2 linked regions of the Zea mays genome follow. The protein of the gene in region 1 binds, or shares a complex with, the protein of each later gene. Links are inferred from orthologs where the notes say so. Each region holds a gene or a part of one and is shown on either strand. Other genes may lie near its edges.

Region 1 (4,123 bases):
GCACTGACCTCATATTTTTTGACATGCGAAAATCTGTCCCGACGAAAGAAAGTAGCGCAACCATCAATTGCTTGAGGACTTCCGCTGTACACCTGTGACAGCAATATTCCAAATTACGCACTACACCATACCAAGGTTTTACAGCAAGCAGTAAAGAACCAAACAAACCTCTGTCGTCCTTTTCTTATATAGAGGTTGGTACCCATGTTTATCAAGCTCCGGTGAAAAAAAATCTTCAAAGTGATTACTTTGTACCTGCAAATAGTAACATATAGATCACCTTTAGAAGCATAGAAATGGCATGGTTTTTCTTTTATACTGATTCTTACAAAATAAAGACTCCTTCCTCTCTGAGACATTGATCATATGAGAAAGGGAATAATTTCAGGTGTCACTTATGTTTTATGCTTCATGAGTTTAAGGGGGGATGCAGCACAATCAAGAAACAACAATCAAACAATTTAAGGACTCCAGAAGGCAGATAAAAAAGTTATGATAGTACTTCTCATTCAACAGAAAGGTGCTGGGAAACTATCCTGCCTCGGGCAGTCGGGCTAATGAAGAAATCACATTAACATTATTTTTATAACTACAATTTAGTTACTCAGAATTAACAGAAGACCAAAGGATGGTGTCATGAAGCAATGGAGCAATCTCAATGTATCACAGATTGACAGGAACATAACAACATCAATAGTAATTTCTTAAACTCATCATGCTGAACATAATAAGTGCAATTTATTAACAATTAAAGATGCAAATCAGAGCCTTAAACTTCAAACATGAAAAACAATAGCATTCATACCTCCTGAAGGCAGATAATATCAGCATGGTAACCAATAATTTCACGCAACAAATTTTGCCTTCTATAAGCCCATGTAAGTGCCCAAGTTGGACAATAGCTGTATGTATCACTTGTTGCATATGTATCAGCAAGAATATTGTAGGACAGCACAGTAAATGTCCCAAAAGAAGAAGTCCGGCTATCTAAATCGAAGTGGACCATTGCATCAGCTGCATTAACAGGGATCAAGCGGCGTGGTGTCGGGGTCGGTGCTGGGATTACACGGGATGTCATGACTGAAGTAGGAGCTCTCACAGTCCCCCGTGTTTCCACATCCACAACTATACATTCAAATCTTAGCACATGTCCAATATCATCAGTAGTTGCCGTATATGTTCGTGACCATCCCACTTCAAACCAAGTTTCACCAGAACTCTTCTCAGTGCCTGTTGGATACACAGGTGTAGGTCCATTATTAACACCTGAGCTCAGTGAAAGGTTTGATGTTGAACCAGACAACGCAGCACTAATAACCCCTGAGCTCGAACTGCCGCTACCAAATCTGCCAAACAACTCATCATCTTCGGTTCCGTTTTCATTTAAAGCACTTATAGCACGGTCATGCAAAACCTTGTGGTGTTGCCAAGCATCGGAGAAGCACTTAGAAGAACAATGGTAGCTCTTAGCAACAGGTATTTTTGACTTCAGACACCCTATGCACTGAAGTGTTGCTTGTTCTGTTGGGTGTACACTGCAGATAGCAGCTCTACGATCACTTTGTATGCGGTACCTTCAAGAAAGGAAGATCAATATTCAGGATTTCATCGGTATTCTTGCCTTAAAAAAGTTCGAATCTGACACCCTATACCAGTTGTTTTTAACATGTTCAGCATGTATATTCATTTCTAGACAATATTCAAGCATCATATGACACTTTGCTGGTCCCTAATGCACCATGAAAACATAGCAACTAGAAAGTGAACCTTAAGCATCCAACTATTCATATATCTACCAATCAGTATGCACCACTCCGAATGACTATACTGTTCCCATAGATTATGCTGGATCAGAAAACTTGCTACACCAGTCAAAAACTATGAAAAAAAACAACTCGTGATTTGGCAGAAATCATAATTGTCTGACAAGAGCCCAATTAAGTATTCAAACTAGCGATGTAAAAATATTCAGTGTCACAAAAAAAAACACTTCAACAAACCAGAATGTGGTGTGTGCTTAAAATTGCTAATAACTCGGTTATTCTGGAGTCTGGACACAGTATTGAAATGGTGAAACAAATAAATGAAGCAGCTTGCGTCCAAATAGCAACTCGAATGGATGAAACCATGCTTGGTTGACTATAAATTGTCCTGATTGTGACTGACGAAATAAAAGAGGCTCGGAATGGACTGCTCACCACTTGTAGCGCATGAAGTACCCATCCACGGGCGCGGTCTCAGACACGTCGTCGGTGAAGACGCCTCCGTCGGGGCGCCGCAGGAGCACATACGGCGTGATCTCACAGCCGACGATCGGGATCTCCGACGGGAGGTGCACCCGCAGCACGGTCAGCATCCTTCCCCCAGGGGCGGGCTTCACCTGGGTCATGAGGGTTCAGGTGAACCCCCAAAATTATCGAAAACCCAACAACGCCCGCGCCTGAATTAGGGCACCGGAAACTGCTCAGATGTACACAAGTGCCGATCTTGCGCGCTGACGATTGACGAAGGACCCTATCAAACCAAGGCCGGATAGATTGGATTGCGTTAGCTGGGTAATACCACGCAGCACAAAAATGGACGGTTAACTGGATCGGAATGGCGAAAACATCGATTTGGGTTTGATTGAGAACACCACTACCGAATCCTCACTTTGAACGAAAGAACTCATCCGAGCAAAGGTTACTAACCAGCACGGGAAGGAGCCAGTCCCGCTAGATCGATAGAGATGCAGCAGGCGGAGGAGACCGCGGATGAGAAGGGGGCGGTGGCGGCGGAGCTGTGCTCGCGGCGTCGAGGCTTTGGGGGGTTAAAGCTGCTGCGTCCACTTGGTGGTAAGTCTGACTGCAGGTTCGCCGTTCACGTTCACACGATAATAATTTAGAATGCAACATGTTACATTTTAAATGTTAGAATTATCTATATCTAATCTAAACTATTATAAGAACTTAGGTGCCGTTTGGTTCCTAAAATGTAACGTAAATGGTAACGGTAATGGTTTGCATTCGATAATCAGCGGTAACAAATTTAAATAGGCTGATATCAATTTCTAGTGTGGTATCCGATTACGGTTGGACTTAAACAAACATGATTTAACGTTATTTGTTACTCATTACATTACAAATATGTGAACCAAACAATACCTTAATGTGTGACGCTTGGGCCAAGCTGACACTCTAGGTCCGCCCAACACGTCCCGCCTCGACGCCATGCTCTATAGCTTATAGGCCCCACGTCCAGCGCTCGCGCAATGCTCTCTCAGCTATTGCCCTATAGACCCACAACACTCGATCTCGTCCGCGCAACTACCACATCATGCAAAAAATAGTGCAGAACAAGCACTCGAATCCATGATCCTTGCTCCAAAAATTTAAGGCTAATCATCAGACCACACATAACTTAGTGTTTAGAAATAAACAATAATTATATTTGAATAAATATCTCAATACCTATTGTATGATACATAATAAACGTAGCAAAACATGGTCAACCGACTAGTACAATACATAAGGCCTTGTTTAGGCACTCTATTATTTACTCAAATCTACATGTATTGAGATCTATTAAATATAAATTAATTTAATTTACACCCCCTAATCCATCTCAAGGCATGTTCGTTTTTATCCTACTCTATGGATCAAAAGGGATTAGGTAGGTTTAAATCCATAGTAATTAAAAATCTCTTCCAATCTATATCAATCCCCTACAATCCATGTGGATTACAAATAAACGAACAAGCCCTTAATCCATGTGGATTAGCCCTTAATACATGTAGATTAGGTTTAAAACTAGAGTATCTAAACAAAGCCTAAATGAAGATTCGGACCATGATTATTAGCTCTAAACCTACACTCACACTTGCCTAGAAAATAGAACACGTATATTCGTGTATTTTATATTCTATACTTTTACATAAATGGAAACGTAACAAAGTACAAGCACTTTGCTATTCAGTAAAAATCGTATTGCATTCAATTAAAATCCACTGTTAATCAACTTTTTAGTTAAAAAGTTTAAAAGTATAATAGATATTCAGTTTTAGGTACAAAATAAAAGTTATTCTTGAATTTTTTTTCATTAGATATATCAAATTATTTTTAGTTTGAAAAAATATTAAATATGA
Region 2 (4,244 bases), on another chromosome or scaffold:
AGGGGCCATGTTGTCAATATCTGTTGTGAAAATTAAATAGTATAACAGTACTCCCTTCGTTCCAAATTGGAAGTCGTTTTGGCTCTCTTAGACACAGATTTTACAATGAATCTAAACATAACTTATGTCTAGGTACATAGCAAAAGATATATATATATATATGCATCTAGAAAAGCCAGAATGACTTACAATCCGGAATCCGAGGGAGTATATTACTACTTTTTAGAAGTCTAAAAGTTGTATTGCTGAGCAAACATGTCATCAAGTTTGATTAGGATCTGCTGGGTAACCCATCATTCATGGAACCAAATTTGTATAATTCAATATCACTTGGTTCCACTTATGAAGCCTAGTTCAAGTAAGTCACATGAAAATAGTTAGATAAGGAAATTCCAAAGATTTCTTACTTTCTCAGACACCATGACTATACAGCATTAGAACCTTAAGTACCATGACTATAAGGAAAGTCCAATAAACAGCGTTTTCGAGAGAGAAAATCCAATACACAACACAAACAACTGATCAATCAAGGGCTTACTTGAGGCACGCAGATGGGGAATGAGGAAAAAGCGTACTCTTAACATAAACCTGCAGCACAGAGCAAACTATTAGGCACCGTTGGCCGCCAATGATCCACACGGATGGTCCCACCGACAGAGATGGCATAATAACATAGAGCCAAAACGGGGAGAGAGTGGCAAAATAGCAAATTTCTCGCTAGAAAGCTAAGAAAAAAAAACAGACACACCTGGGCCAAGATGTTGTAAGAGACCAGCCGGAACTGGTACCGTGCAGCCCCTGGAAGCCAAAACCCAAAACGAATATTAGCATCGACCACACAGAAATTCCACTGTTGCAAGTGTCAGTGATTAGTTTCCTTAAGATTTCAGGGCTGACGAGGACTGACCGCCATCTGTTTGGGATTCAGTTTGCTCCGTAGGGAGAGGGGCAAACCTGGGATGCGCCAGCGTGCTCATCCGCCGCTTGCAGACCCTAATTTTGCGTATCCAGTGAAGCGTTAGAACGAAGAGTGCAAGAGAGGAAACAAGGGACAGGGTTAGGGGTGGGAATGCCCTCACGGGACAAAGGAGAGCGGCCGGTCACCGGCAGGAGATGGACTGGCCGCGGTTCTCGAGCAGCGGCGGATGAGAAGGAGAGGGAGGGAAGCTGTCCACGACGTCTGTGGCTTTAGCATCGGTGGCGCCCTTTGCGGTGAGTTATTTGTGATTATAATCATTTCGTCGCGCGGCTTCGCCTCTTTGGTATCCCGCAGCACGTCATCGCCATATTGGTATTACTGTCGTATACCACTCGCTGGATTGGGTTCGTTTTCATACGGCTGACTAATTTACCCTTCCTTTTCACCCAGTCCGGTCGCAACGACGACGAGCCTCGTCGATCTCCAGCCATGGATGAAGACGTCGCGATAGCGCCTGAGCACGAGGAGCGCGCGCCCGGAGCTCCAGCGTCACCTCGGCCCGTGGCGACATCTCCAGGGCGGCCGTGACCAGGCTGAGTGCCGCCGCCGCCGCATCGTCGGTGTCCTGCGCGGCCGACGGGAGGTTGATGGTAACCGGAGAATGTCCGTGCCCTCTTGTTCAGAGCTCCACAGCACCACCGAAGCAACGAGAGGGGCAAAGCTTGGGGACGATGCGGCGGCGAATCGAGGAACCGTTGGGCAAGTTGAGCGAACCGTGGCTGTGGAAGGAAGCATCATCGTTGATGCCGACGGGTTAGGCGGGCGCGTACCGACGACTGTGCCATGCACTGCGCACGGAGATGCCGTGCTCAGCTTTCTCTTTCAACTTCCAAACGGTGCCGCTGAGTGAAGCTGCTCCACTGCAGCGGAAGAGAGATGAGCGCACTAGGATCTACTGAACAGCGTTGGGGAATTGCAGTAACACTTTGTGCAAGATAAAAGAGTTTTATTAATGCTCTGCTATAATAATAATATGCGTGCTACTAGACAACAGGCAATTCATCCTGTCATCCTTCAGATTTCCGTTTTACATATATACACCGTACATTAAGCTCATATGGACATTAGAACAGGCCTGATTGGTATGTAATTCTACTACACGGATTCCACCCCACAAACGACGAACGATGCCCTCTGTTCTGTACGCATCGTCACCGTGCTCTCTAGCTCCCTGGCGTGAACTTCATGCAGATGGGCGGCTTGACCTTGGCCAGCGCGAGCAGCGACGACGGGAACGTCCAGATCCCGTCGCCGCAGATGAGCCCCGAGGCGACGGCCGGCACCAGCAGCGCGGCCTTCTTGCCGTCGAGCCTGTGCCACGCGAACACCACGAGGCTCCCCACGCACATGTCGACGGCGAAGCTGGCGCCCACGAGGAACGGCACGGCCATGGCCATGGGCAGCGGCACGAGCCGCGCGAGCCGGCGCGGCAGCAGGTCCCGCGCCAGGTTCGCCAGCACCGCGAACGCGAAGAACCCCGCGCACAGCTGCATGCAGTGCCTGGGCAGCGCCGAGAAGCCCTCCACGCCGAGGATGGCCATGTTGCGGTAGATGAGCGCGTAGGTAGATGAACGCGTAGGGGGAAAGGAAGGGTAAATTAGTCAGCAGTATGAAAACGAACCCAATCCAGCGAGTGGTGTACGACAGCAATACCAATCTGGCGATGACGGGCTGCGGGATACCAAAGAGGCGAAGCCGCCCGACGAAATGATTATAATCACAAATAACTCCTTTGCGGTAGGTTCCCGGCTTGTTCCGCCGCCGCCGAGACGACTCCACGAACAGGATGTTAGAATCTGATCTAGTAAGCGGGTCCCACCTGTAGTACGATGTATGTGCACAGTCACTCATCACTCGGATAGAAAATTGGAATTGCGTTGAACACAGTGCGTGCACGAACCTCTTCATTAAAATGCATGGTGTGTTTGGTGGAGAGCGGTAATAAGGTTACAACCCATATAAGGCCTTGTTCGGTTATTCCCAATACATATGGATTAGATGAGATTGAAAAAAAATAAAGAAGAAGAAGTTTGATTTGTTTGGGATTCAAACTCATCCAATCTCACTTAATCCACATGGATTGAGAGCTAACCGAACAAGCCCTAAATGTTCTATATCATAGGTCTGTTTTGGTTCCATTAGTACTACGATTAAAGTTTAGTTTATGGGCTAAAGTTTATTCACAGGAGCATTATTAGATAAAAAAGAGCGATTAAGGCATAACTTGTTTTTTGGTGCAAATACAGGTATTTCTCTAATTACTTCAGGTGTCTCGCAACCTCACTTTTATCGTAGCAATACATATATAAGCAAAGAATATATAAAAATAACATTACACCAAACATAGAAAACAACTGTGTAATGATATTCTACGCGCTGCTATGAGATCGTAGATTCGAAAACCACTTAAAAGTTATGGTTGAAAAGATATGATTTTTCGAAGATTATCTGACTAACTATGAATTATATTCTATGTGGATTAATATAAATTACGTGAGAAAAGATATTACCTTAATCCAAATTATATCTTGGTTGGAAATCATACTTTAGTCAAAGTATATTTATAGTCGACGGTAATAAAGTTGAAAGAACTACGAATTGGGAAAGGTAATTGTCGGGGACCATAATTAGGGGTACCCTCAAGGCTCCTAATTCTCAGCTGGTAACCCCCATCAGCATAAAGCTGCAAAGGCCTGATGGGTGCGATTAAGTCAGGGATCAATCCATACGAGGGACTCGATCACGCCTCGCCCGAGCCTGGCCTCGTACAAGGGCAGCCGACCCCGGAGGATCTCCGTCTCGCCCGAGGCCCCCCTCCAGCGGTGAACGTGTTCCCGGCTCGCCCGAGGCCCTGTCTTCGCCAAGAAGCAACCCTGACCAAATCGCCGCACCGACCGACCAAGTCGCAGGAGCATTTAATGCAAAGGTGGTCTGACACCTTTATCCTGACGCGCGCCCCCCAGAGCCAAAGTGACCGTCGTCACTTCGCCGCTCCCCTGACCGGCCTAGCAGAAAGACAGCGCCGCCTGCGCCGCTCCGACTGCGGTGCCACTTGACAGAGTGAGGCTGACAGGCAGTCAGGCCCGGCCGCAGGCACCATAGGAAACTCCGCTCCGCCCGACCCAGGGCTCGGACTCGGGCTAAGCCCCGAAAAACGGCGAACTCCGCTCCGCCCGACCCAGGGCTCGGACTCGGGCTAAGCCCCGTAAGACGGCGAACTCAAATCCGCCCGACCCAGGGCTCGGACTCGGGCTCGGCCCCAGAA

What was found. The genes of interacting proteins can lie anywhere in the genome.
Region 2: CCR4-NOT transcription complex subunit 6 (region 1) and Carbon catabolite repressor protein 4 homolog 4 share a complex: the UniProt entries of both Arabidopsis thaliana proteins name them as parts of the CCR4-NOT complex. The link is inferred for Zea mays from reciprocal best matches to the Arabidopsis thaliana genes AT3G58580 and AT1G31500.

What each region holds. Positions count from the first base shown.
Region 1 is NC_050096.1:14,205,079-14,209,201, reverse strand, and holds the start of CCR4-NOT transcription complex subunit 6, read right to left. Parts: upstream 2,801-4,123; 5' UTR 2,691-2,800; intron 2,515-2,690; 5' UTR 2,390-2,514; coding exon 2,199-2,389; intron 1,575-2,198; coding exon 806-1,574; intron 256-805; coding exon 169-255; intron 93-168; coding exon 9-92; intron 1-8. UniProt on the Arabidopsis thaliana protein: Acts as a catalytic component of the CCR4-NOT core complex, which in the nucleus seems to be a general transcription factor, and in the cytoplasm the major mRNA deadenylase involved in mRNA turnover.
Region 2 is NC_050101.1:154,491,327-154,495,570, forward strand, and holds the start of Carbon catabolite repressor protein 4 homolog 4, read right to left. Parts: upstream 2,801-4,244; 5' UTR 2,710-2,800; intron 2,550-2,709; exon of another isoform or gene 2,521-2,549; coding exon of another isoform or gene 2,143-2,520; exon of another isoform or gene 1,371-2,142; intron 1,262-1,370; exon of another isoform or gene 1,238-1,261; coding exon of another isoform or gene 1,196-1,237; coding exon 1,080-1,195; intron 994-1,079; coding exon 908-993; intron 799-907; coding exon 749-798; intron 589-748; coding exon 539-588; intron 1-538. Other genes in the region: probable metal-nicotianamine transporter YSL16, read right to left, coding at 2,143-2,520. UniProt on the Arabidopsis thaliana protein: Acts as a catalytic component of the CCR4-NOT core complex, which in the nucleus seems to be a general transcription factor, and in the cytoplasm the major mRNA deadenylase involved in mRNA turnover.